Linked DNA regions of Canis lupus familiaris. The protein of the gene in region 3 purifies or fractionates together with the protein of the main gene of each other region. This does not show direct contact. Links are inferred from orthologs where the notes say so. Each region holds a gene or a part of one and is shown on either strand. Other genes may lie near its edges. The genes, in order: ANAPC16, ANAPC7, CDC26, ANAPC1, ANAPC4, ANAPC2 and CDC27.

What was found.
Region 1: the proteins of CDC26 (region 3) and ANAPC16 purify together in Homo sapiens (co-immunoprecipitation; 5 studies listed by BioGRID and IntAct, with this or other methods). This does not show direct contact. The link is inferred for Canis lupus familiaris from reciprocal best matches to the Homo sapiens genes CDC26 and ANAPC16.
Region 2: the proteins of CDC26 (region 3) and ANAPC7 purify together in Homo sapiens (affinity purification with mass spectrometry; 5 studies listed by BioGRID and IntAct, with this or other methods). This does not show direct contact. The link is inferred for Canis lupus familiaris from reciprocal best matches to the Homo sapiens genes CDC26 and ANAPC7.
Region 4: the proteins of CDC26 (region 3) and ANAPC1 purify together in Homo sapiens (co-immunoprecipitation; 6 studies listed by BioGRID and IntAct, with this or other methods). This does not show direct contact. The link is inferred for Canis lupus familiaris from reciprocal best matches to the Homo sapiens genes CDC26 and ANAPC1.
Region 5: the proteins of CDC26 (region 3) and ANAPC4 purify together in Homo sapiens (affinity purification with mass spectrometry; 11 studies listed by BioGRID and IntAct, with this or other methods). This does not show direct contact. The link is inferred for Canis lupus familiaris from reciprocal best matches to the Homo sapiens genes CDC26 and ANAPC4.
Region 6: the proteins of CDC26 (region 3) and ANAPC2 purify together in Homo sapiens (co-immunoprecipitation; 7 studies listed by BioGRID and IntAct, with this or other methods). This does not show direct contact. The link is inferred for Canis lupus familiaris from reciprocal best matches to the Homo sapiens genes CDC26 and ANAPC2.
Region 7: the proteins of CDC26 (region 3) and CDC27 purify together in Homo sapiens (affinity purification with mass spectrometry; 12 studies listed by BioGRID and IntAct, with this or other methods). This does not show direct contact. The link is inferred for Canis lupus familiaris from reciprocal best matches to the Homo sapiens genes CDC26 and CDC27.

What each region holds. Positions count from the first base shown.
Region 1 is NC_049225.1:23,616,251-23,619,750, reverse strand, and holds part of ANAPC16 (anaphase-promoting complex subunit 16), read right to left. Parts: intron 3,213-3,500; 5' UTR 3,186-3,212; coding exon 3,044-3,185; intron 1-3,043. UniProt on the Homo sapiens protein: Component of the anaphase promoting complex/cyclosome (APC/C), a cell cycle-regulated E3 ubiquitin ligase that controls progression through mitosis and the G1 phase of the cell cycle.
Region 2 is NC_049247.1:8,464,090-8,467,589, reverse strand, and holds part of ANAPC7 (anaphase-promoting complex subunit 7), read left to right. Parts: intron 1-941; coding exon 942-1,084; intron 1,085-3,048; coding exon 3,049-3,166; intron 3,167-3,500. UniProt on the Homo sapiens protein: Component of the anaphase promoting complex/cyclosome (APC/C), a cell cycle-regulated E3 ubiquitin ligase that controls progression through mitosis and the G1 phase of the cell cycle.
Region 3 is NC_049232.1:68,048,891-68,052,927, forward strand, and holds the start of CDC26 (anaphase-promoting complex subunit CDC26), read right to left. Parts: upstream 2,801-4,037; 5' UTR 2,640-2,800; intron 1-2,639. Other genes in the region: PRPF4 (U4/U6 small nuclear ribonucleoprotein Prp4), read left to right, coding at 2,958-2,984, 3,933-4,037. UniProt on the Homo sapiens protein: Component of the anaphase promoting complex/cyclosome (APC/C), a cell cycle-regulated E3 ubiquitin ligase that controls progression through mitosis and the G1 phase of the cell cycle.
Region 4 is NC_049238.1:36,479,244-36,482,743, forward strand, and holds part of ANAPC1 (anaphase-promoting complex subunit 1), read right to left. Parts: coding exon 3,364-3,500; intron 3,141-3,363; coding exon 2,920-3,140; intron 2,064-2,919; coding exon 1,857-2,063; intron 1-1,856. UniProt on the Homo sapiens protein: Component of the anaphase promoting complex/cyclosome (APC/C), a cell cycle-regulated E3 ubiquitin ligase that controls progression through mitosis and the G1 phase of the cell cycle.
Region 5 is NC_049224.1:85,510,380-85,514,481, forward strand, and holds the start of ANAPC4 (anaphase-promoting complex subunit 4), read right to left. Parts: upstream 2,801-4,102; 5' UTR 2,618-2,800; coding exon 2,489-2,617; intron 1-2,488. UniProt on the Homo sapiens protein: Component of the anaphase promoting complex/cyclosome (APC/C), a cell cycle-regulated E3 ubiquitin ligase that controls progression through mitosis and the G1 phase of the cell cycle.
Region 6 is NC_049230.1:48,462,357-48,466,482, reverse strand, and holds the start of ANAPC2 (anaphase-promoting complex subunit 2), read right to left. Parts: upstream 2,801-4,126; 5' UTR 2,630-2,800; coding exon 2,525-2,629; intron 2,326-2,524; coding exon 1,703-2,325; intron 545-1,702; coding exon 412-544; intron 1-411. Other genes in the region: SSNA1 (Sjoegren syndrome nuclear autoantigen 1), read left to right, coding at 2,801-2,852, 3,239-3,438, 3,772-3,879. UniProt on the Homo sapiens protein: Together with the RING-H2 protein ANAPC11, constitutes the catalytic component of the anaphase promoting complex/cyclosome (APC/C), a cell cycle-regulated E3 ubiquitin ligase that controls progression through mitosis and the G1 phase of the cell cycle.
Region 7 is NC_049230.1:17,538,416-17,541,915, forward strand, and holds part of CDC27 (cell division cycle protein 27 homolog), read right to left. Parts: intron 3,133-3,500; coding exon 3,033-3,132; intron 2,038-3,032; coding exon 1,830-2,037; intron 1,630-1,829; coding exon 1,457-1,629; intron 1-1,456. UniProt on the Homo sapiens protein: Component of the anaphase promoting complex/cyclosome (APC/C), a cell cycle-regulated E3 ubiquitin ligase that controls progression through mitosis and the G1 phase of the cell cycle.

The DNA.
Region 1 (3,500 bases), on a different chromosome or scaffold from region 3:
TGTAATCAAACCCTTTGTAACACACCAAGTAGCAATACATCAGTTTTCCTCCTAAGGGACAAGCAAAGGTTATAAGTAGTGAAAAGGTCAGTAAATTGCCCAAATCTAACATCATGCCAACTCCAATAAATAGGATGCTATCAGATTCATTTAAAAGAATATTACCTCACAGCAGGAAATTAGACACTGCCAGATAATTTATGCTTTAGCAGCCTACAATGTCACTAAAATTCAGCTACTTCTGGGCTGGAAGGCAGTCTCTAATTTGCTCCCTAATCTGAGTGAGGACAATCATAGCCAAGGGCAGGAAGAATGCTGAAAACTGCTGTACAGATCTTCGGTTTATGATGGGGTTATATCCTGATAAACCCATTCTAAGCTAAAAATACTAAGTTGAAAATGCATTTACTACACCTAAACTACTAAACATCATTAGGTAGCCTAATCTACCTTAAACATGCTTAGAACACTTACATTAGCCTACAGTTGCGAAAAATCATCTAACACAAAGCCTATTTTATAATAAAGTGTCAAATATCTCATGTAAATTATTGAATACCATACTGAAAGTGAAAACCAGGAATGGTTGTATGGGTACAGAATGGTTGTAAGTATATCAGTTGTTTACCTTGGTGATCGTCTGGCTGAGAACTGTGGCTCCCTGCCCCTGCCCAGCATCCTAAGAGATTACCGAACCAAATATTGTTGGCTCAGGAAAAGATCAAAATTCAAAACTCAAAGTATGCTTTCTACTAAATGCATATAGCTTTTGCACCCTGGTAAAGTAAAAAAATCTTAAGTCGAACCATCAGTAAATTGGGGACCATGTATACATTGCTTATGTGAAGTGTCTAGATTGGATGCAAAAGAATGTTTATTCAAAAGGTTAAGTACGTTATCTGGGTTTCACAGAAGGATGCAAGATCAATTTGAACCTGTTAAGATTATAAATAGTATCCAACCTTGGCTCCTGATTGCTTTTCTTCCTTACTGTGAAAAGGCAACTTTTCCTACTCTGTTTTCATATTTGATTAAACTACTCTAAGAAAAATGGTCAGGTACCTGTGCATTAGATTAACTGTATAATAGCATCACCTATAAACATTGTAGAATATGCTTCTAAATCTAACATTCTTATTAAATTTCATTTAGCAGTACTCTTTCAATTTAACATTTTTTATTTGAGTAGGATAGTTCATGGATTACCATTTCTAATTTTTCATAGTCTGTCCTTAAGTGTAAGTAGCTTTAAAATACAGCTAAAACTTTAAACCTAAGAAAGGGAATGAAAACTCTGCATTTTGAATTTTTTATTTTTTTTTGCATTTTGAATTTAAACCTAATATAAATTCGTCCTACAACAGAAAGCCAACACATTCTTCCATGGAGCATACTGGGATGGAGTAAAAATGGATAGAACTAAAACATGTTAGAACCTCAACATTCAGACTAATCTCAGGAGCCTTTCTTCTTTAATGTTTCCAAGTAATCTGGAGTATACTGATACAGAATGCTTATAGCTTTGAGACTAAGGAGGTACCTCCTGTATTAAATTTCTCCTGTAGCTAGGATTTAAATGACTTCAATCTTAGAGTCCATTGTTAAACATCAATTCCTTTTCTGCTGCTGTAAGACTCATTAAGCAATTTAAGTGCCTCCAACTTTTGATTTTTTGTGGGCAACTTCCTTAACACCAGGTCTCTGCTGCATATAAGACGTCAAAAATGTAGTGTCACATATGGTAAACAAGGCCCCAATTGTTCATTACATCTAGAGTCAGTGATACTAATTCAAGAATTCAGTTAACAAAACTAAAGAAAACGAGAAGGCAAAGACAGAAGTACATACATCTCAGATATATCACTAACTATATTACCTGACTAATTCACCAACTTGATTTGAACCAATTCTAGAGAGGCTTGTGGTCCTAGTTTTCTCATGTCTCTCAGTCACAAATGATTCTTCTGTTTGTTCTGGCTTTAACCCAAAACTCTTTTCACCTGATATAAATGAATAAAGTTTACTCCAAAAAGCTTACTCCTAACTATAGTTTGTACCTTGCTCAGAGATTTCTAGATTAATTTTTAAATATACTTACCAAAATTTGCAATTTAAAGTAAAAAAGATCAATACATAACTAAGCACAAAAGTGCTAGAATCAGGTAGATTTTGAATCCTTAATAGTTCTTTGCTGACTTTTTTCAAAGTGTGACGGTTTAATAGTTATGGAAGAATCTTTCGTGAGCATCCCTTGAATGTCAGTCAAAAGAAAAGATTTCTGTGCTGCACCCTAGACCAATTTAGCATCTCTAAGGTGGGCAGAAATGTGCATTTTAAATAAGCTCTTCAGGTGATTTTTATGCTCCCTATTAAGAGTTTACTGGTCTAGCTCCTCAAGTGACACGTATCCCATGAATTTCAGGTATCAATGCAGTGTCATGCTTACAGCCTGTGCTCTGATCCCGGCTAGCCAGTTTGCAAATGTGTGCTGAGTAGGATGTGGATGATTTGATACAAACCCAGCTCCCGTGCTAGAAAAACCATACAGTACTGTTCTACAGTGGGCCAAGGGAGCCATCTTCACATACAAGAGTAGTATATTAATTTTTATTTCCTCTTAGAACCTATTTGATGAGGTTAATCTAGGAGTAGATTAATTACATTAGAAAGAAATGTATCAAACCTACTCATTATAGGGAGGCAGACTGGTGCCAGGAATAAAGCAAACTGGAGAAGGAGGTCAAGAAAATTCTTGGTTCTAGTGCTGACTTTGTCTTTAATGTGGTCAAATCACATTAACTTTTCTGGGTCTAAATAAGTCTAGATGACTTCCTTGATTTCCAAAGCTTTTTTCAGCTCCAAAATTTTGATTCTGGAGAAAGATCTGTGTTTTGAGCATAATATTTTGAAATGGGGACAAGTGATGAAATGTGGAGCTGAAATCAGGGCAAACTTGTCTCTAATCTGCTTAATAGCTTCTTTACAATTAATATTCATTGCAGGTCAGAATCCAATTATTCAGCAAAAAGCAGCATGAGATCACCTTCTAACATCTCTCCAGCTCCTTTGGGGTAGGTGAAAAGGGCTTTCCGTGGTGGGGCAAGGTCTGAGACACTGAAACCAGATCCAGTGACAGAACTTCCACTGACCCCACCAGCTGAGGAGGATGATGAAGAGGCAGCCATTTCCTCTCTAGCAGAATTCTCACTTCACTACAGAGAAAGAAAAACAGCAATTGGCAAGTTTATGGAAGTGAGACTGACAACATTTCATTCTAGCTGCCATAAAAGCCAGCATACAGTTTAGTAAAGAATTAGCTCCCCCTTTTTCTACCCTCTCTGTTCCCACAATCTTTTACTGATGCCTCATACCAAAATGTCTCTCAGGATTTTATGTGAAAGTATGTTTATTCTGTTTTTCTACTTAAAACACTTACTTCCTATCATTAGCAAACTGTTTATATGGCTTGGGATCGACTGTGGGTGATTTATGGGTTATGA
Region 2 (3,500 bases), on a different chromosome or scaffold from region 3:
TAATTCAGTGTTCTTGAGGCCCTTTGTATGGAGGTCTGATGTATCTAAATTAGCAAAATAGAAATATGAGATGTTTATCTCTCAGCCTGTTGTCCTCAGGCTTGCTTTTTAGTCTCTTAATGTACCTAACGATACTAAGGGTAATAATCTCTGCTGTGAGGACCTGTTAAATGTAAACTTTGACTAAGTTCAGCTCTGTATTTGCAAAAGTGATAACCCTTGCAAAGCTGGCTGCCTTAGTTGTCATGCTTGAACCTGGAAGAACATCTTTTTGAATGTCCCAGAAGCATAGATTGCAGCATCTGACCTGGGTTGCCTCTTTAGAACTGGGATTTTCTTTTCTAGTCAGGTAAAGTCCAAGGATAAGGGACTGAGTTTTTTGTTCTGTAAAATCATTTGGTTGAGTAATAAGTAGCAGTCACTTTTGAATGACATTACATTTAGGGATCCCTAGGTGGCGCAGCGGTTTGGCGCCTGCCTTTGGCCTAGGGCGCGATCCTGGAGACCCAGGATCGAATCCCACATCGGGCTCCCGGTGCATGGAGCCTGCTTCTCCCTCTGCCTGTGTCTCTGCCTCTCTCTCTCTCTGTGACTATCATAAATAAATAAAATTTAAAAAAAAAAAAAAAAAAAAAAAAAAAGAATGACATTACATTTAGCACCATGTTGTCCTCTGAAAACCTGCAACCAGAAAGTTCTTTCTGGGTAATGACAGAGATTTCTGCTTCATTCTGTATATTGGCTTTGTTATCCTCTGTAACTTTCTTTAAATCATAAGCTCAGAAAAAGAAAAGCTAGTCTATACAGTTTATTTGAAAAGTTTCTTATTATGAAAAATGTTAAATATACACAAAAGAAAATAGTGCTTATATACCTGTCATTGAGATTCTGAAATTAAGAGGATTCATAATACATGTTAAACAATGTTTAATATTTTGAAGTTCACTAGAGAAAAAGTCCTTATTGCGAGATAACGTGGACCTGTTGGGAAGCTTAGCAGATCTGTACTTTAGAGCTGGAGACAATAAAAACTCTGTCCTCAAGTTTGAACAGGCACAGATGTTGGATCCTTATCTGATAAAAGGTAAGTAATTTTTGAAGCATGGTGGAAGTGGCTGTAGTGGGGAGGATCAGAAAAGAAAGGGAGAGGGGATCCCTGGGTGGCTCAGTGGTTTGGCGCCTGCCTTTGGCCCAGGGAGTGATCCTGGAGTCCCAGGATCAAGTCCCGCGTCGGGCTCCCGACATGGAGCCTGCCTCTCCCTCCTCCTGTGTCTCTGCCTCTCTCTCTCTCTCTCTGTCTATCATAAATCTTTAAAAAAAAAAAAAAAAAAGAAAAGAAAGGGAGACAATATACCATAATACTCTAATACCATTTTTCATAGAACTATTGTGAAACTTATTTCAGTAGCCTTTTACTTTTTTTAGGTCCTAATACGTGCCTCTTAACACTTGAGTAATTCCATTTTAAGCAGTTGTTTTTGCTTGAATTCAAGTGTCATCTCCAGGCAGATCATTATTTGGCTCTTTTTCTTTTGGGAGGAGTGATAGCCCTTCCTTATGATTTATAAATTTATGGTGTGCCTGACAGAATTTGGATGGCATCCCCAAAACCATAATATCCTTTTAGGGGATTTAGTTTTACTGTGACCTTAGTATACTTAAAAGCAAGTAAGTGAACAGGCATTAAGAGAGGACTGAGGTGATTAAAGGAAGTAATTAGGAATTAACAACAACACAAAATCCTTGATCTCAAAGATTGTAACTGAAGAGGTGAGCCATAGGGACTTCCAAAGGATGAGTATCCAGTGACTGGCAGTGAGTGTGGGAAGGTATTGATAGGCTGAAATCTGCTTATAAAGTCCTAAAAGAAGCCATGAGAAAAATATGGCCTGTTGACAGTTTTTAGTCCTGTAGACTCTTAAGGCTACAGAGCAGGGAGATGAGAAAACAGATGCAGAAAGATGAAATTGTTTGCTCAACGTCTCCCTCCTGCCCAGTGCTTATTTCTCCTCTCAGTTGCCTGTGCCCATGATGAAAATGGTGTATTAGAAATACTAGTCTGGCAGTAGTTAGCAGCTTGGAGTTGAAAGCTCAGGCCGAGTTTAGGGGCCAGCAGAGTATTGCAGTGATCTTGGCAAGAGAGACGTTTTCCTGGGAGTCTGAAGAGATAACAAGGAATGAGGGAGATGGTGGTAAGAGATGGGTGACAGCAAGCAGGGACCCTTTTATAGAACACAAGTAAGAATAAGCAGAGTAAGGGTGATCTTAAATCCGCTGGGCCAGAAAGAACTAGATGCTTTTTCTGGAATAAGCTACTTTTTCTGAGACTAACTGCATATTAAGTGTGCACTCTTGAAGAAAAGAACTTATTTGATGCCTTTTTTGGGCTTTTTCTGGTTATGAGTTAGGATAACTGCACATCATGTCACAGGTTATAGGGACAAACAGTTCCCAAAGATAATTGGCTTTCAAAATTGTGAGTTGTAGGTTCTTCTACTCTTTTGCTTTTTAAACTTTTTGGATGTTTTGTCTTTTTAATGGTCTTTTTTTTTTTTTTTTTTTTAAGATTTATTTATTTATTTGAGAAAGAGATCAAGTGCTAGCAAGCCAGCATGGGGGTGGGGCAGAGGGTGAGGGAGATTCTCAGGCAGACTCCCCTCCCCTTTGGGTACAGAGCACAATGTGGGGCTTGATCTCATGACCACAGGAGACAAAATCAAGAGTCAGATGCCCAACCAACTGAGCTGTCCAGGTGCTCCTTTAATAGCCCTATTGTAGGAAAGTGTGAATGCTGGTGGGAGGAGCTCATGATTGTGGAAAGGGCCCAGACCATGCTGGAACTGAGGCTTGAGTGGGGGTTCTGATGAAGGCTCTTGCTCTCTTTTTTTTATGCACCGGGAGCCTGATGTGGGATTCGATCCTGGGTCTCCAGGATCGCGCCCTGGGCCAAAGGCAGGCGCCAAACCGCTGCGCCACCCAGGGATCCCAGGCTCTTGCTCTTTTAATAAAGGACACCTGCTGCTTTTTAAAAATCCTCTTCCTTTCCAGGAATGGATGTATATGGCTACCTCCTGGCAAGAGAAGGGCGGCTAGAGGATGTGGAGAATCTTGGCTGCCGCCTTTTCAATATTTCTGATCAGCATGCAGAACCCTGGGTGGTCTCTGGGTATGTTTATGCGTTCTCTTTTCTCTCCAGTTTTCAGTACATTCTTTGGGAAATTGATAGCATATAGGTTGAAAACACAGATTGAAAAGATAATCAGATTCAGATCAAGGTCTTTGACTTTGGACACATTAGTTACCTTTCTTAGTCTCTTTTCTCAGATTTTCATGGAGTAAATATCAGTTGAGATAGTGCATTGTGCTCAGCACTGGAAGCCATCATTGAAGGCCAGAAGCTGCTGCTTTGTTATTTATCATGGCTTTGCAAATTCTCTGAATATCTCTCACATGTAACATATCCAGATACCAGATTTTTTTCCCTTCCATATCAAATTTCC
Region 3 (4,037 bases):
GGGTGGAGTGCAGGGTAGACAGGGACAAGGAAGGCTTCCTGGAGGAAATCTCTTAGCTGACTTATGAGGGCAGGCAGAGAAAGGGGAGTAAGAGAGAGGGAACAAGACACAAAGAGGCTCAAGAGAACATTCCTGAGTCTGAAAACTCAAGGTAATGCTTATGCTAACAAAAAAAATTTTTAGGGACAATGACACTCCCCAAGTCAATTTAAAACCTGTTAAAGGCATCATCTTTATATTCTCCACAGCATCAAGCAGAGTGTATCTGTAATAATCAGTCAGTACATGTGTTGTTGAATAAACTGAGAAACCCAAATAAGTGAGCACTTGAGGGGCGCTTGGCTGGCTCAGTTGGTTAAGGGTCTGCCTTTGGCTCAGGTCCTGATCCAGGAGTCCTGGGATCAAGTCCCACATCTGGCTCCTGGCTCAGTGGAGAGGCTGCTTCGTCTTCTGCCCCTCTCCTCTGCTCGTGCCCATGCTCTCTCTCTCAAAAATAAATAAAATCTTAAAAAATAAAGTGTACAATATTTTTTAAGATTTTATTTATTTATTCATGAGAGGCACAGAGAGAGAAACAGAGACATAGGCAGAGGAAGAAGCAGGCTCCCGACAAGGAGCCTGATGCGGGACTCAATCCCAAACCCTGGGATCATGGCCTGAGCTGAAGGCAGATGCTCAACTGCTAAGCCACCCAGGTGTCCCTAAAATGTACAATTTAAAGTGAACACTTGGAACACTGTGCTACACTTTTCCATTCCCATTCTTTACATTTTTTACTTGAATACAGAAACCCTGTGAATGCTGGCAAAATTACCTCTATTTTATAAATGCAGTTGAAGCTTTTTAGTTTGGTTAATAGATGTCAGCCTGCCATAAAAATTATACATAGGTCACAGGGGTGAGGATTAGATGAGAATGATGTCAAAGAAAGCTCCTTTAAAGTACATGCAGGGCAGCCTTGGTGGCTCAGCAGTTTAGCGCCGCCTTCAGCCCCGGGTGTGAGCCTGGAGACCAGGGGTTGAGTCCCATGTCGGGCTTCCTGCATGGAGCCTGCTTCTCCCTCTGCCTGTGTCTCTGCCTCTCTCTCTGCGTTTGAATATTTATCATGAATAAATAAATCTTTAAAAATAAATAAATAAATAAAGCACATGCAGCTATAGGGGTGCCAGGCTGGCTTGGTCAGTAGTATCTCAGGGTCATGAGGTCAAGTCCCATATTGGGTGTGGAGCCTCCTTATTAAAAAAAAAAAAATTAGGGACGCCTGCGTGGCTCAGGGTGTGATCCTGGAGTCCAAGGATCGAGTCCCACATCGGGCTCCTTGCAGGGAGCCTGCTTCTCCCTCTGCCTGTGTCTCTGCCTCTCTCTCAATTTATCCTTCATGAATAAATAAATAAAATCTTAATTTAAAAAGTATGTACAGGTATAAATTATCATTACATCTTGGATGTAGCTACAGACTGGAAGCATAGAAAGAAAAAAATGTATCCTTTGTGAAGCTTGGAACAGAACAGGCGATATTCTCACCATAAAATACTAGCACACTGAATCCGATAATATCTTGGGGCGCCTGGCTGGCTCAGTTGGTGGCGCATGGATGGGGCTCTTGATGTGGGGGCTCTAAGTTTGAGCCCCACATTGGGTGTAGAATCACTTAATAATAAAAATCTTCCCTTTTTAAAAAAAAAAAAAAGGTAAAATCAAAGAAATAAATCAGATACTCTCTTAAGTCCGATGTAAACAAATGGTAGAGGAAGCCGAAGTTCCAAGGGAGAGTAGGGGAGGGAAAAAAAAAAAAAAAAACCCTGCCGTACAGGTTCCTCACTTTTCTGCAAACTTTGTAAAGCTCGCCACTAGGAGGCAGTACCGAGTGATGGGCAAAGCTGCTCGCTCAGGAGGCCCAAGGGCAGAGGGCAGGGGCTCTAATCCCACACGCCAACCCTCTGGGACACTAGCTTCATCTTCACAGTGGACGCTGGTTTCCTCATGTTCTGCCCTCTGTTGTCTAGACTGAGTGAGGTACGGCAGTGTAAGTGCCTGGAACACAACTTGGCATTTAGTAAACGCCCAATAAACACCAGCTATTATTATTATTATTATCATCCTAATTGTCCTTGGGGGGGGGGGGGGGGGCCTCCGTCCGGCCCGAGAATCACCCAAACTTCAAGCATCTCCACCCCCGACAGGGGGGAAAGCCCTGGCCTTGCTCCTGTCGGATGCCGCAGCCCGCCCCCCCCCCCGCCCCCGCGGTACCCAGGCCGTGCAGAGGTGCCCGTGTGCACTTGACAGGCATCGCCTCACTCCGACCCCGGTACAAACACTCGGCTGAAGACCAGCAATAAAAGCAGGCCGTGGCTCCTCCTCCGGGCCTCCGTTCTACTTGGGAGCTGGTGGCCGCCGCCCGAATCCACTGCGCATTCAGCCCGCTCCAAGGAGGGCCCTGGGACAACCTCCCGACAGCGGGGAGGGCGACCAGCTGCAGAGTGGCACCCGCGGGCCCACAGCGAGGGTTTCCATGGCAACCTGGCCCTCCGCTCCGGGCCCACCGCAGCCCCTCGCGGGGCCGGGGGCCACGGCAGGCCTCGGAAGCCCTCCATTTGCTCCGGAGCTCAGCCCGCGGCCGCGCGGCCCGACGCACCTACCTCTTTCCAAGCCTGCTCGGCCTCCTCCCGGAACCCCGGCGGCGCCCACCGCGAATCTTCAGCTAAGCGAGCGGGACTACACTTCCCAGACTGCTCTGCAGAGTCTCGTCCGCCGCGTGCTTTTCTCCTTAAGTTCACGCTACTCTTGGCGCCACGACGCTTCCCTACTACTACTCCCGTCATGCCCCACGCCACCCACGACGCTGCGTCGGCCCACTTCCGGCCAGTGACGCAGTTCCGCTTTGCCGGGCGCGCGGTGGACGGTCTGAAAACGCAGAGCTCGGCTTTCGCCGGGGTTTGGCGGCCGCGGAGCTCAGCATGGCTTCCTCACGAGCCGCCTCCACGGTACGGAACTCCACTCACTCTGGCGGGGAGCGCGGAAGGGGCTGGGGGGGCGGTTCCTGCGAAATGGGGTCCCTCGGGGAACGGGCTAAGGCGGTGGAGGTCGGAGGTGAAAGGCTGAGAGACTCGGTCCTTAGAGGAGCAGCGTTTTCCAGACCCCGAAGTACGTTCCCGTGTTTTATTTATTTTTATTTTTGTAAAGATTTTATTCATTCATTCATGAGAGACACAGAGAAAGGGGCAGAGGCACAGGCAGAGGGAGGAGAAGCAGGCTCAAGGCAGGGAGCCTGATGCGGGACTCGATCCCTGGACTCCAGGATCACGCCCTGGGCCGAAGGCAGCGCTAAACGGCTGAGCCACCCAGGGATCCCCCCGTTCCCGTGTTTTAATTCATTTGCACCCCTCACTACAGGCCCGAACGGTAAATACCTCTTCCGACTGCTCCAAAACCTGAGCTCTAGAAGGCCCAGATTCACGTCTGTGTCAGACTTCATTGCAGTTTGGCCTCCTAACTTCATATGTGTTGCCTTACTCTGAAAACGTTTGAAATGTACCGAAAAGTAACTAACTTGCCCCCCTTTAATACTGCGTTGGTTGTTCTCCTTGATACTGCCCCTGTGATGAGGGGTAACCTTGGAAATTTCATAAAACCCAAGAAGAGGTTGCCACGGAATGATGCAGACATGTTCCAAAGCAAATCTTTGATAGAAAAGTTACCAAGAATAATGATGGACTAGTTCTATTAGCCTCTTCCCGTCTGCAGAACCTAAGTAGCTTGGAGAGACACCCCGCCCCCCAGTCAGTGAAGATAACCTGAACTGGTGTCCGACCTGTCCTTTTCATTTGGGGGGAAAATAGGATTGAAGCTCAGGATGAGCTCCATCCTTTGGGGGAAGCCTAATAAGTGGTTAGTATCAGACCTTAGGTTAATCCGTGTCTTTGATTTATCAGGCAACCAAAACTAAGGCACCTGATGACTTAGTTGCTCCTGTTGTGAAGAAACCACACATCTATTACGGAAGTTTGGAAGAGAAGGAGAGGGAGCGTCTGGCCAAA
Region 4 (3,500 bases), on a different chromosome or scaffold from region 3:
TTCCTCCAACTATACCTATCCCCTAACAACATACATTTGCCTTCTGCATCACAGAGAAAACTGGACTTGAGCCCAACCTCTTCTCTATGTATCTAATAACCATCACTGCCTTTCATCTTTCTCCCCAAGGCTAATCTCTCCACTTGTGCTCCTTTCTGGTTCCTAGTTCTATCAGTCATTTCCTCTCTCCTGTATTTTCAATGCTTTCCCTACTTTGGATATAGTCCTTGCAGCCTACTCTCTCATATTAAGATAAAAATCTTAAAATATGAAGATGGACTGAATAATAAATGATATAAAGTACTGTTAACTGGCTAGGTATAAAAATGGCCTTGTGGTAAGATGTTCTTATGTTTTAGAGATACATGCCAAGATATTTAGTCTCAAAGACTAATTTTCTCTAATGTAATTCAGCAAGAAAATTCTCCCTTGACCCTGAGACTCCCTCTAATTTGTTTCCTCATCCCAATTCAAAGGCAATCCTTAAAATAATCTGTATGTCAATGTTCACTTCCTCATTCCCCATTCACTTCTTCCACCCCATTCCACTTCACAGCCCCTCTCCAAGTGCTCCGGCCAAGGTCACCAGTGAACTCACTGCCACCTACATACCACCTCCCTGAGCTCATCACTTAGTGCCACCCCCATCAGCACCTGGTAATACTGGCAGCTTTCTTTTTGAAAGGCTCTCTTTTCCAGTGTTCCATGACACTTCTGCTGCTTCTCCCACTTGACCTCTCCAGCTTTGTCTCTTTTTCCCTTTTTACCCCCAAAATCTTAAGTTTCCAAGACTTTAGTCTCTAGCACTCTTCTGACTCACAACCACCAGATCAATTATTTGGAGGACTCAGATCCCCTATGAGAATCTAATGAATGTTAAAACCCTCTCTTTAGGAAAAGTCCTATACATCACACGTGCACATGATTACTATATAATGCTACGTTACTGGAACCTCTGCCAAATGCAAACTCATCCAGAGGCCTTCCAGGAAACCAACATCTACACACTCTTTGACTTCCAATCTACCTCTCTTGCCCAAATCACCACTTATAAGCCAACAACTCCCACATTTATTGCTTTGCTCTTTCCTCTGAGTTTATGACCCATACATATAAAGCACCTTCTTAACAGCCTTTATCATATACAGCAGCCCTAAAGGGCAATCTTTCTCTAGCCTCCCCTTTCTCAAACCTTGCCCTTCCTTCCAGGATAAGCAGAGAGTATTTGCACATATTACATACTCATACTTCTGAACTTCTGATCGCCCTGCCTACTGTGTCCTTTTTCCCTTTATTCCCCAACAAATACCTATTCATCTTCCCAAGGCCCTATCAGTAAAGTAGGCAGTGCCTCTGTGTCACCAACCTTCAGCTGTCTCTTTTTCAGGAGAGGAACACCTATTAACCCACAGCCACTAGCACACACACTGGAATTGGCTGAATTAATGAATGATCAAAGAGAAAATAATAGAAAGGCCACACAGAACAGAGATCTGAGCTGCATTTCCCAAAAACAGCTGACACTCAACTAACATAAAGATAAAACTTTAAAAATACTATAAAATCCCAAGTTTCTTAATATACAGAAATTAGTTGTTTCTCCCTAAAACATCAAACACCTCAAATCTGAGAGATTTTTACTACTATGGAAGAAATAAGAAATGATAAGAGAATACTTTTATAATCACTTTAATATCATTAATATCCTCTATTGAAACTAAGGTAGCCTTAATATTTATGTTTTTATATAATTAGTTATATTAAAAGATTAAAAGGAAACCTTAAGTAAAACACTAAATATTTTTTAAGACTTTTACCCACATTTTTCTTCGAATATAAAAATATATATCCCAAACCTTATATTCGTAATCGTTTCTGTCCATAAATGGTCAATACAAAGTTCAGGAACAATTGGCTCTGTTTCTGGTGCAAGGAAGGAGCCATTAGAGCTATTTGGAGAGTGGGAAATACTGTGTCTCTTTGGAGACTGATTATGGCTTGAAAGGTTGAACCTCTGCACCCCTGAAAAAGAGTGCACTCCTAAGGCAGGAGAATGAGCACGACTGCAAAACAAACAGAGAAAGGGCATCACAATTAACAAGGCAGACTGATGGAACATACTTTGCAATCACAATTTCTAAAACTCTAGGTACCAAGTGCATTCATGGCATAATCCCAGTCAGAAATATTTTTTTAAGGGAAAAACTACTTAAATGGTTCACGCTAATGTGCTTTATTACGTTCCAAAGATTTAAAATTGTTGTTAGAATTCATCCTTTACTTTTAAAACTGAAAATTAGTTCATTTTCTGCCTCAGAACATGAATTGTTTTTATTATTCCAAAAGGTCCAAACTATATTCTTATATATCCAGATACATACATACCAACAAAACTATGTCCCCATATTACCAGGTATACACTAATAAAAATGAAAAAGCTAATGCAAACAAAAAAGAAAGAAAGAAGGAAGGAAGGAAGGAAGGAAGGAAGGAAGGAAGGAAGGAAGGAAGGAAGGAAAGAAAGGAAAAGAAAAAGAAAAAGAAAAGAAAAGAGAAAGAAAAAGCCCTCCCGCCCCCTCCCTCCCTCCCTCCCTCCCTCTCCAAAGAAACGAATCATTGCAAAATATTTTTGCAATTGATATTCATCAAACTGCTGCCATTTAGTGGTAATGAGGCAACCAATCTTACTGCAAACACAGCCAGCTTCTAAATAGGACTCATTTAAAAAAAAAACTAGCTTTTACTTAGTAAAAGTAACACAACTGGGATAATTACTATTTTCTGTAAAAAAAAATACCCAAGAGCTGTCAACAGAGATCATAAATCTTTCGTAACAATAAGAGAAAGTTTGAAAAGAAGGTATTTCTTTCTTGGGAGATCCTGTTAAAACAAGGAAACACTTCCACACTTAATTCCCACCTTAGAGCTGCCATGTTGGAAATAGAAGGTGAACGAGAGTGTAGACTGGGTGAGGAGGTCGAGCGACTCTGACTGTGAATGGAGGAGTAATTCTGGAAAGGTGAAGCCACGGGAGAATCTCCTTTGGAGAGGCTTCTGAGGTGTGCTGTGAGGGAGCTACTACTGGCCACATTCTGTGGGGTTCCCCCCTGTTCAGAGAACTTTAAGACAACATTCTCTTCCTTAAGTCAAAATGATGAGAAGGGGGGAAAAAAAGGCAATAATTAGATTAAAAGGGTAATTTCCTGGTGAGAATTCAGGGTAGAAGCCAGTTATTAAAGACACAATATTTCCTTTTTCCTATAAAGCTCAATGCATTTCACAAATGATTCTCCCAAACACATGTGAAAGTTTTCAGTGTTAGCTATCCTTTCCTACTAAGATGTGACTTGCCTTTATCCTTACCTCTGTTTTGACTCTCCGGAGAGCCCACACAGAATGCAAACTTTGAACAGTGTCATAGGTCATTATAATGGAGGGCTCAGTGTTGAGAAAAACAATTTTCATTGCATGATCTACAACATATTGCACCCTTGATGAAC
Region 5 (4,102 bases), on a different chromosome or scaffold from region 3:
ACTCTACAGCGGCTCCTCTCCCGGCCTCAGCTCGCAGCCTCCTTCACTCCGGGCACACTGGGCCCCACAGGGAAGCCAGGACTCCCAAGGAATCCTTCATTCCCTAGACTCAGCGCTCTTGTCTGAGCCCATCTCTGCCATCCCTTACTTCTGAAACCCTCCTTCTGTATCTTCTGGATACAGTGCTGCCTCATGGTCAGGTAGCACCAAGATCCCCATATCTTCCTTCTCTTCTCCAAAAAGTGCTTGTCACCCAGAGACACTGCTTTCCAGCAGGATTCTCAGGTGAGAGCTGTTCCCTATCCCATGCTCCCCACTCTACTGGGCCAGGAGATGAAGTAGGCTTCCTCCTTGACGTCCGATGACATCTCTGGATGACTTTTCTTCTCTAAAATCCTCCAACTCTGAATCATATGCAATCACACAAGACCACCCACTACCCCTCTTAATCATTTAAAGCCCCTTGGCCATTTCCCTCCTGCCTGGAACATCGGGACTCGTGTCATGCTTTCCAACACCATTCATCACCATTCTTGGTGATTTCAAGAGCTACGGTGTCCTGGCTTTCCAGTTCCCAACTACCTTTCTTCCCGTGATCATGTCTTCTACTCACCTGTCACTCCCAGGGTCATGCCCTTGACCTTGTCCTTACAGTTACAAGTGCTGCCATAAAGTTTCAAACCTTCCACTTTCCATCACTGCCTCTACCCTTCTAGCTCATTCCTACTAACACTCAACTTCAGTTCTTCAACCTCACCAAGCCATGTAACACACGATTGCACCTACTCATTGTCCCTCACTCACAACCCCCCCCCCACTTCCATACTTAATTGTGTTAGAATCCAAGGACCACCAATACCATCGCTCCTCTTACATGTAACTTTAACTCCCTTGCATCTCTGTCGCTATGTCACACTTGCAAAACAACACCCTGGTGAGACCCAACCATGCCTACACCCACGGAGTCAAACAGAACAGCAGAGACACAACCATGCTCACTAGATTCCGCCAAACTACAAGACAACCAACCTCCTGTGGCTCTTAATTCTGACCAGCAATCTGTGTGTTTGTTTTTTTTTTTTTTTTGGTTGTTTTGAAGATTTTATTTATTTATTCATGAGAGAGACACAGAGAGGGGCAGAGACACAGGCAGAGGGAGAAGCAGGCTCCCTGCAGGGGGCCCCATGCGGGATTCCATCCCGAGACCCTGGGGTCACTCACGACCTGAACTGAAGGGAGATGCTCAACCGCTGAGCACCCCAGGTGTCCCCTGACCAGCAACCTTACTAAGTTTCCCTAGTCCACTTGCCTCATGAGCTTTTCATACCCCGCACTTCTCCAACTACCAGTATTTTCTCCGCCCTCACTCCTAGACGGTGCTCCTCCTTCACTGAGGAAAGGGGCACAAAGGCCCGCTATGACATCTACACATCTAGTCCCACCGATCCCTGCTCTCCCTTCCGTCCTACTGCCGCGGCTGTACTATCTGCACCCCCCTCCGGAGCAGGAAGGGTTCCAGGGCACGGTGGCAGAGGGCAGCGGCCAGGAGGTAACATGGAGAGCCTTGAGGAAGGAGGCAGCAACGCCGGGTGAGGAGGTAGCAGCAGCCGGCATGCGCCGCGGCTCTGCAGGCTGCTAAGTATTCCTTACCCCTGGGTCCCAGCTGGTCTGCACACAACTCCTACCTGCCGGGGAAGGAGGAGACCTGCGGGGCTGAGGGTTTCCTTACAAAATGGCTGCCGGGTGACCGGGGCCCTCAGGACAAAGGTAGATGCAGCGGTTACCCGTGATGAGGCCGAACGTGATTGGGAACTAGAAACGCCAGGTGACAACACTCAGGTGCGCCCCGTGGGCCCAGGCAAGCATCATTCCCTTGCTTTACAGGTGTTCTTAGTAGGAGTCGGCCCCGCGATCCGCAGGAGGAAGCTTGGACAAGGGGCGCCCGGGCGCTCAGCGCTCAGGGGCGCGTGGTGACCCCGGGTCCCGGGATCGAGTCCCGCATCGGGCTCCCTGCACCGGGCCTGCTTCTCCCTCTGCCTGCGTCTCTGCCTCTCGCCCTGTGTCCGTCATGAATACATAAAATCTTTTTTAAAAAAAAAATAATAAATAAGAATGAACACTTGGCCAAGAGAGTCTAGATCTTCGAACCTGCCGTGAGACGCGCCGTCTGAGGCCCGAGCATGCCCAGGGGACGCGCCACACGCCACGGGCTTCCCAAACGCCCATTTGACAAATGAAGGACTCGACGGGACTCAGACTCGGGGATGCCGGGCCGCCGGGCGAGCGACTCCGCTGCGCGAGGACCGCCGCTCTCGCCTCGCAATACGGGAAATGGGCCCATCCTGGGGGCCTCCCGCGGCCGCTCCCGACGCGCTCTGCGAAGGGGGGGGAGGGGGGGGGGCGGCCGCGGCCCAGCGAGGGCGGCCGCGGGGAAACTGAGGCCGGGCCGGCGGCACGCGCTCGCCGTGGCGGGCTCGGGCTCACTCACCTCGCCGGCCGTGTTGGCCAAAGCGATGAGATCGCGCTTGGGCGACCAGACCAGGAAAATGATCTCCTGCGGCAGCTGCTTCTCTCCCACCACCCGGAAGGACGGGAAGCAGGTCGGGAAACGCAACATGGGGGCGGCCCTGCGGGGACTCCCCGGTCGGACGCCGCCGAGGGGGGGGGGGGGCTCCCGGCCAGGCGGTACCGGGGGTCCCTCTCCGCGGCCCGCGCCGCCCGGACCACCTCCCCCCGCCTCCCCGCTCCTCCACCCGCCGCGCGCCCGAGCCCCCGCGCCGCCGCCCGCCGCCCGCCGCCGCCGCGCGCTGCCGGCACTTCCGGGCCCGGACTTCCTCGCGAGAAGACCCGGCGGCGCGCGGGGCGGGGGCGCGCGGGGGCGAGGAACGCGGGCGGGGGCGCGCGGAGGGGAGCGGGAGGCGGGGACACGCGGAGGGGGCGGGAGGCGGGAGCGCGCGGGGGGCACGCGGAGGGGGGCGGGGACACGGGGGCGCGCGGGAATCGGGGGCGAGGACACGCGGACGGGGGCGCGCACGGGGCGGGGGCGGGAGCGCGCGGAGGGGGGCGGGGACACGGGGGCGCGCGGAGGGGAGCGGGAGCGCGCGGGGGGCGGAGGCGGGGGCGCGCGGCGGGGCCCCCCAGCTCCAAACCCCCTGAGCGGGCAACTAGCTCGACTGTCCCAGTAAGGCCGGCGGTTGACAGGCGGTAGCAGGTGGTAGTGCGAGGGCTGCGCGCTCACCCAGGCCTCCTCCCGCGGAGGACCTCCCGGGGCAGAGGACCTACAGGAGGCCCGAGGCCGGGGCGGGGGCCGCGCCCTGAAAGGCTTAGGCTGCGCTCGGCCGGGGCGGAGATGCGGGTTGACGCGGCCACGTGTCAAGGGCCGAGGGAAGGCGGGCAGGGCGGCGGCGGGAGCGAGGCGGGTGTCCGGGGCGGAGTGCGAGTCCGTGACGACCCACAGGACCCTGCGAGGTCAGGTGTGACGGGGAGAAGGCCGGGCCCGCGCACCTTCAGGAATGGAAGCGGGAACCATGTGGGCTGTGACTCCTCTAGGCCATGCGAGAGGCTGTCATCTGGAGGGGTCCAAGTCATAAAATCGGTGAAACATACAAAGTAAAAAATTGGCTGGAAAGAGATGGACGTAGATCGGTGTTGGAATCTCTCATCCTACGAGGGTTGCATTTATTAAATGACAAAAAAAAAAAAAAAAACCCAACTCAAAGTGGCAGAAGTAATAACTAGAATGTATTGGTTCATGTACAAGTCCAGAAGCAGAGCCGACCTCAGGGCAGGCTAGATCCAGGGACTCAGGAGACATCGAGGACCAAGCTCAGGGCGGACACCATCATGAGGCTGGCTCCCCCCGGGGTCGGAGGAAAGCTGCCATCAGCAACTGGATCTACGCGCTTCTGCATTCAGAGAGAGAACGAAGGCCTCTTCACCAATCACAAGACCAAAGCCCTGAGCTTTGCCGTGATTAGACCAAGCCCTATCATGAGCCTAACCTGCAATCAGTCACAGGTACGGAGTATGGAACAATGCCCCATAAAAAGTCCTCCCCAGGGATCCCTGGGTGGCGCAGCGGTTTGGCGCCTGCCTTTGGCCC
Region 6 (4,126 bases), on a different chromosome or scaffold from region 3:
AGACTGTGCTGAGCATGGCACGGGGGGTCTCTTGCTGTCAGTAGGGCCAGCCTCCACTCAGCACCAAGACAGCTTCCACCACCCTCCAGGTCTTGGTTCACCCATCTCCATACACTCTCGCCGCTTCTAAAACCAGGGGGTGAGACACCTGGGTGGCTCAGTGGTTGAGTGTCTGCCTTCAGCCCAGGGCATGATCCTGCAGTCCCGGGATCGAGTCCCACATCAGGGTCCCTGCATGGAGCCTGCTTCTCCCTCTGCCTGTGTCTCTGCCTATCTCTCTCTGTGTCTCTCATGATAAATGAATAAAATCCTTAAAAAAAATAAAAAATAAAAAAATAAAACCAGGGGTCAGGTTTGCTAGAAACCTATTCTACAGTCCGCAGGGGATAGGGCCTAAGAGGCTGTCCTTACCTTGTGGAACTCACGCAGGAAGGAGCGCTCATACTCGCCCCGGCAGCGGTCCTCCATCCTCTCCCTGGTCACCTGGTGCAGGGTGGTGGTCACAGCCTCGGCACTGACCCGCTCCAACAGACTGAGCCTGTGTCTGGAGGAGAGCCCTGCCCGTGGAGCACATAAAACATAATCCTTTCCCCCACCTCCCATGCCCTCTATAACAAAGGCTTCAAATAAGCTGCTGGGAGGACACAGCCCTGCCCTCCCCAGCTGACTTCCCTGACTGGGCTGACACCCTGGCCTTCCCTGTGTGTGTGGTGGGTGTGGCTCTCAGGGCCAAAGCCTCATCTCCCAAATGTGACTCTGAAACAATAGCTAAACACATCCCTGTCCTGGTCACATGTATAGAAGTCCTCAGTTATGCCTTTTGGTGCAAACCCTGGTCAGCAATGGCAAAGGGAGTCAAGAGGCGAGGAGAAAGCATGTTTCTGTGTCTGAGATGAACCCAGTGAAAGCCATTCAGGGCTCCCTGACCCCTGCCAGCAACAGGACCACTCCCTAACAGCTGCACTGCTGTTGCTTCACTCAATGAGACAAAATTGTTATAAGCAACCACAAAGGACAAAAGGTCAACAGGTCAGAACCTGGCTTTAATAACAACAAAACCCTTTCCTCTTTAAAGACTGGAAAGGGCAGCCCTGGTGGCTCAGCGGTTTAGTGCCGTCCTCAGCCCAGGGCCTGATCCTGGAGACCTGGGATCGAGTCCCACGTCAGGCTCCCTTCATGGAGCCTGCTTCTCCCTCTGCTTCTCTCTCTCTCTGTATCTCTCATGAACTAATAAAAAAAAAAAAAAAAAAAAAAAACTGGAAAGACAATCTGCTTGCCAGCATGTTGGCCTAATCCCCAGCTCGTCCTGGAAAGCATAAAAAAAAAATCTCTCTTTTTTTTTTTTTTGCAATTATAGGAGAGGATAACTATCTTCCCTTCCCTGGAGAGCCTACAGAAGACACAGCAGACTTGTATGTGACCGGAAATCTGGAATCACATAGGGTCTTGGTGTGCACGCAGTGTGAAACCTGAGATTAGCGTGAGTGGCAGAGATACTTGTTCTTTTTATCCAGGACAAAGAGTATAAATTCACAGCACAGGGACCCTGGGGACTGTCCCTTTGTAATGTCCAGGACTGTCAGGGCAGAGATGCCCCCCTCCCCAGAGCCAGCTCACCAGCTTTCTGAAGAGGCCGCTGGACCCAGGAAAGTAATCTAGAGTCAAGAAGAACAGGGAAATGGCCACAGCCACAAGTACTCACAGGACCTGGCTGAGCTGGTGAAACTGCTCCAGGGCCTGGCGGCACCAGCATTGCTGTTTGTCACTGCCACACCCCGCACACAGGGGGCTCTGCAGAAGTCTGTAGTACCGCCGGCGGGCGTACCTGCTGTCCAACTCCCCCTCTAGTTCCGGGTCTGTGCCCCCTTCCCCCTTCCTCTTACTCTGCATGTAGACTCTCAAAAACCGCCCGTAGAGGCGCTGAATCATCTCCTGAAACATTCTGGGAGTGGAAAAGAACAGGACGCCCCGCAAGGTGGTATGGACTTTCTCCCGAAGCCCCTGAGCGCCTGCGCCCATCAGCAAGCCCAGGCGAGTCCACTTCTCCAGCAGCTCCAGGCTACGCAGGTAGGGGTCCAGGCGACTCTCCAGCAGGCCGAAGGCGTCAAGGAGCAGCAGAAGGCACTGGGGCTCGTCCGCACAGTTCTCACGCTGGGAGATGGTATTCCAGAACTCGAGCGAGATGTGGGCCTGCAGGTCGTTCTGCAGCACCTCCACAAACCACTCCTCCAGCACCGAGTGCAAGCCGTGGCCCCTCAACACCTCCACCGCCGCCCGGAGCTCCTCCTCCTTCGGCGGCACCGCACCGCTGGTGCGGGAGGACGCCTGCGGTGCAGAAAACCGTGAGAAGGGAACGCGGAGGGACGCGGAAAGCGCGGGGACGGACGGGGAGCAGTGGGGAAGGGACGCAGCGGAGGGGAGGCTGCGGCCGACGCCAGGTAGGAGCTGTCCGGGAGCACAACGCCCACCCGGCGGACGTCCCAGGGACCCCGCGCGGGCCCGCTGCCCTCTCCCGGGGCCTCACCAGTCCGAGCGCGGCCGGCGGCACTAGCCCGGTGCTCACGGTGTTCCAGGCCAGCAACAGCTCCTGTGCGGGCCCGGGGTCGCCGTCGCGCCCCGCCGCCGCCATCTGCGCGGCCCCCTCCAGGTCCCCCGAGCTCCGGGTGCGGCGCGCGGCGATGACGCACACGAGCGGCGCGCAGCGGTGACGTTTCGGAGGGCGCGCCGTCGGACGCACCGCGCAGGCGGGAGCGGCGATGCAGTAGCGGCGGTTGGGGTGGTCGCGGCCTGGGCGGTCACCATGACCCAGCAGGGCGCAGCGCTGCAGAATTATAACAACGAACTGGTCAAGTGTGAGCGGCCTCGCGGCGGGGTCCGCCTGGTGGGCTGGGAGGGCGCGGGGCTCGCCGGCCTGCGGGTCCAGGCGGTGGCGGGCCTGCCGCGCGTGGCCCAACGGGCTGCACCGTCCGTGCGTGGGGCCTCGGCCGGGACGGCGCCGGGGGCCTTGCGGGCGAGCCAGGGGGACAGCCGCTGTGCCGCTCGCCCGGGCGCCGGGTATCTGCGCAGTGAGGGACAGAGCGGAAGGGGAGAGCGTGCACCGCCTCCCGCCCCCCGCACGGTCCAGGGTGCGAGGGGTGCGCACCGTCCAGTGCACCGGGCACGCTCCAGAGTGGGAGGGGTGCTGTGCTCCCTCCTGCCCTGGGTCCACAGCGTGTGCCCTCCCGCTCGCCCATCCCAGGCATCGAGGAGTTGTGCCAGAAGCGGGAGGAGTTGTGCCGGCAGATCCAGCAGGAGGAAGACGAGAAGCAGCGGCTGCAGAATGAAGTGAGGCAGCTGACCGAGAAACTGGCTCGCGTCAACGAGAACCTGGCCCGCAAGATTGCCTCTAGAAACGAGTTTGACCGGACCATCGCGGAGACAGAAGCCGCCTACCTCAAGGTGGGGCTGGGGCCCCGGGGGAGTCTAGGGCCGGCCAAACGCAGGGGCGACAGGATCCCGGTTAGGTGTCAGTGAGGCTGTCGGGGGCCTGGCAGGTCAGGAGTCCTGTTTTCTGCACCATTGTCCTCCCAGACCATGAGCAAAGAGCGGCCCCGGGCTCAGCTAACCTAGACTGGCTTCCCTGGGGTGCGAGGAAGGGGCTTTGGGCTAGTCTTAGGGGGAACGGGCCCTGCTGACCCTGTCTGACCTGCCCTTCAGGGGCTTCATTGCACTGCTGCCCCACAGCTCAGTGCTGGCGAGGAGTGGTGGTGACCATCCTACGTCTGTTTCCAGATCCTGGAGAGCTCGCAGACTCTGCTTAGTGTCCTGAAGAGGGAAGCTGGGAACTTGACCAAGGCCACAGCCTCAGAGCAGAAGAGCAGCGGAGCTAAGGACAGCTGATGGGGCCGTTCTGGGGAGGGGCCTGCCTCTACTGTGCCCGGCAGTGGCTGGGCCTCCGACTATCCTCAGCGTCTTTACTCTTTTTGGCACCAGCTGCCCCCTTTCAGTGTCTCAGGTACCAAGAGGCTGTTGCCAAGCTCCACCTGCCCCAGGTGACAAGGAAACCTCTGGGCACGTCCCGGCCTTGTACTCATGCAGGACTTGGGGAGTGCAGGCTCTGGGTCAGTTCTGTTCAGGGCCTGAGGTC
Region 7 (3,500 bases), on a different chromosome or scaffold from region 3:
GGGTCACTGTTCTATAATTAGAGGGAAACAATTAAAATTATGTATTTTAAAGTACCTCTGAAACAAATTAGAAATAATTTTGAAAAGGGCTTGCCAAACATAGCTTTTGTCTATGTATCAGTAAAGGACCATTATCCAAACATGGAACTTATAGCAATGAATAAGGCTATCTGTCTACAGCAATACTTCTTTCTTTTCCATACAAAAGTACATGAGTTAATATCTTCTGTATCTATTCTCTACCTGGAAGAACACTTCATTCTCAGATCTGCATGGCTCATGGAGGAAGGAGTCACCTCCTTTCTCTGAGCATGTTTTTTTAATATATAGCACCACATATTTATTATTGTCCTGCAATTCTCTTACCATGCTTCATTTTTTTCTTCCTATGACTTATTGCTACCTGTCCTTATACATTTATTGGCTTACAATCTCTTACTAGAATGCAAGCTCTAGAAAGCCAAGCAATTATTTGTCTAGCTGTATTACAGAGTCTAGAAGAGAATATTAATCTATAATATGCACTGAATAAATGAAAGTAAATAGGGAAATACTTAGGGGTGAAGTGGGTACAAAATTTAAATTAAAAATCAGAATTTTCTTTTCTTCTTTCCTGGTAAACAAGTAACTTAAGCAACAAACATAATTAAAAGGATAAAAGCCTTGCGAAGGACATTATGTCCTTGATTATATACAGTTTTCTTTATGGCACTTTTCAAATTTATAAAACATATTAAATGCCAGAAATTCATCCCAGTAGGAACTCTGCATATAGTAGAAAAAAATTTTGATTATAAATATCTATTACATGGTAATATATCTTTGGATCCAACTGAGCAGGGTACAAATGTCTGTCTAAGAATATACGAATGTGGGTGCCTGGATGGCTCAGTTGGTTAAGCGTCCAACTCTTGATTTTTGGCTCAAGTCATGATCTCAGGGTTTTGAGATAGAGCCCTTGTAAGGCTCTGCACTCACATGGAATCTGCTTCAGATTCTTTCTCCCTCTCCCTCTGCCTCTCCCCTGACTTGAGCTCTAAAATAAATAAAATCTTAAAACCAAACATAACAAAACATATAGATGACTTGGATTCTCTAAAATAAGCAATTCCCTCAAATTTGAATTACCCCTTAACACAAGAAAAAATTGTCTATTTATAAATTAAAATGCTCAGAAAATATACATAAAGACATTACATAATAAATATTGGCCTTTTATTTTTTTTGTCTCGTTTTGTTAAATTTAAGCAGGCTGCACACCCAGTGTGGAACCCAATGCAGGACTTGAATGCATGACCCTGAGATCAAGACCCAAGCTAAAATCAAGAGTTGGATGCTTACCTGACTGAGCCACCCAGGTACCCCTAAATATTTACCTTTTAAATCTGTCTCGAGCATAGGCATTTTAATTAAATTCTCTCTAAAAAAGGCATGTATAATAGTTTTCTATACTTACTTGCATGTACTCTGAAAGTTCAAAATAGGCCCTTCCAATTTGGCACAGTACCCAACCAGTATTGTAGTGGTGAGAAGGTAGGTGGCTCAAGATATTTATAGCTTCTTTGCAGTTGTAAGAACACAAAGCTAAATAACCTTTCCCCATTTCACGAAGAAGGCTCATCAAACCTTCTAGGAGAAAACAATATAGTAAACAAAGGAGAAAAACACAATAAAACAGTTTGATTTTTTTAGAAAGGCTAACTACAAAATAATTTATTAAAAATTCCAATATCTATCTAGAAAAAACTGGAATGTACTTTAATGAACATAAAAAAACTTAAAGTGAATAAAATAAAATACAAAGAAGATATTAAGCATTTAAAACAGACCTGCTGCTGCTTTCTGTAGATTAAATGCCTGGATCTGAGGTGTGATTGTGGAGATTTTCCCTTCTGAAATGATGGAAGAGTCCAATTTGGTAATTTCCAGGCTATCATTTATGTTAGGTTGAGTTATTCCTCCTTTATTAGTTTTACTTTTAGTTTTTCTGTTTGGGATTTTAGGTGGAAACTTCATTTTTAACTTTTTGCTATTCTCCTGTAAAAAAGAGAAAAATTCCACATTTGTTAAACTCATGTATTTTAGACTTCCCAGTCCTTTCTCAAGTATCAGACACAAAATAAATATATAGTCTTGACTGGGCTATATTTTTCTCACAAAAAAATTACAGAAACAAAATTTTCAAAATCATTTAATTTTAAATGCAAAATAAATTGTATTCACGAATTAGTGTGTAATATAAATCAGCATTATGTGTTCGTTGCTCTTTTCTCAAAGTGTATCACTTTCATTTATTATTTAAAATAAGAAAATAAATGGATGTAATACTACCTAGTTGTCTCAGAGCATTGTAACTGGTAAGTCATAAAACTGTTGATTTGTTGATGTCAAAATTAAAAATTATCCATAATATTTGTCAATGGACCAAGAAAATTTACCAAGGGCATAATGAGGCCCTCCAACTGTACAAAGAAATATGCAAAGAAAACACAGAAAACTTCTATTTATCCTCCCTCTAATTTTCCCAGTGATACTATCTGATATAACCACAGGACATCAACAAATCCATGACCCTGGAATCAGTTCAGTACTGTCAACTAAATTAAGATCTTATTTGGATTTCATCAGTTTTGACATGTACTTATTTTTTGGTGTGACAGATCTATGAAATTTTATCACTTGTATGATTCGCATAATCAACCATTACAATAAGGATACAGGACTGTTCGACCACTACACAAAGAAACTCCTTTGTGCTATGCTCTAATAGTCACATCTTCCCCCCACAGTCTTAACTCCTAATAGCCACTAATTTGTTTCCCATCATAATAATTTTGTCTTTTGAACAATGTTTTATAATATTTATTTAAAAAGGACATTATTAAAGGACGGAGAAAATCTACAAATGTTATAGACAGCTTTACAAATTAAAAAAAATTAAAATAGTCTCTGTGTTTGAGATAAAGTCATCAATGAACAGAAATTTAAGAAGGCTAAGCATTAAGTATATATAACAGAAATCTTTAAATTACCTTGGTTGTAGAGCTGTCACTAGTAAAAAGTCGTGAACTTCTTCGAGGCAGTGCGTTTGGGGGAGATGTGATAGTGGGGCTCAATACCTGAGGTGTTGTACTAAAAAAAAAAAAAAGATAAAAGTGGACTTAAAAAAAAAAAACAGTTTATGACCATTACTTGTTTCAATTCAGATACATTTTAAAAAATGCATTCATCATGTTTGTACTCTAAAGTTCTTGAGTTTGGTTGGTCTATTTGTCATCCCTCTATGAAAACTCAGGATTTAAAAGTTATCTGTTACCATAAAATGATAAAAATTATAACATGGATATTCACTCTATATGAAATTGCTAATTTGAACTTAAAACAATCCACATAAAAATTCTGGATCAATAAATGATAAACATGTCTATAAACTAATACTCTCTAGCTCTCATTTGCAACCATAGCGAGTTAGAGAAAGATAGTTGGATACAGACAGTCTA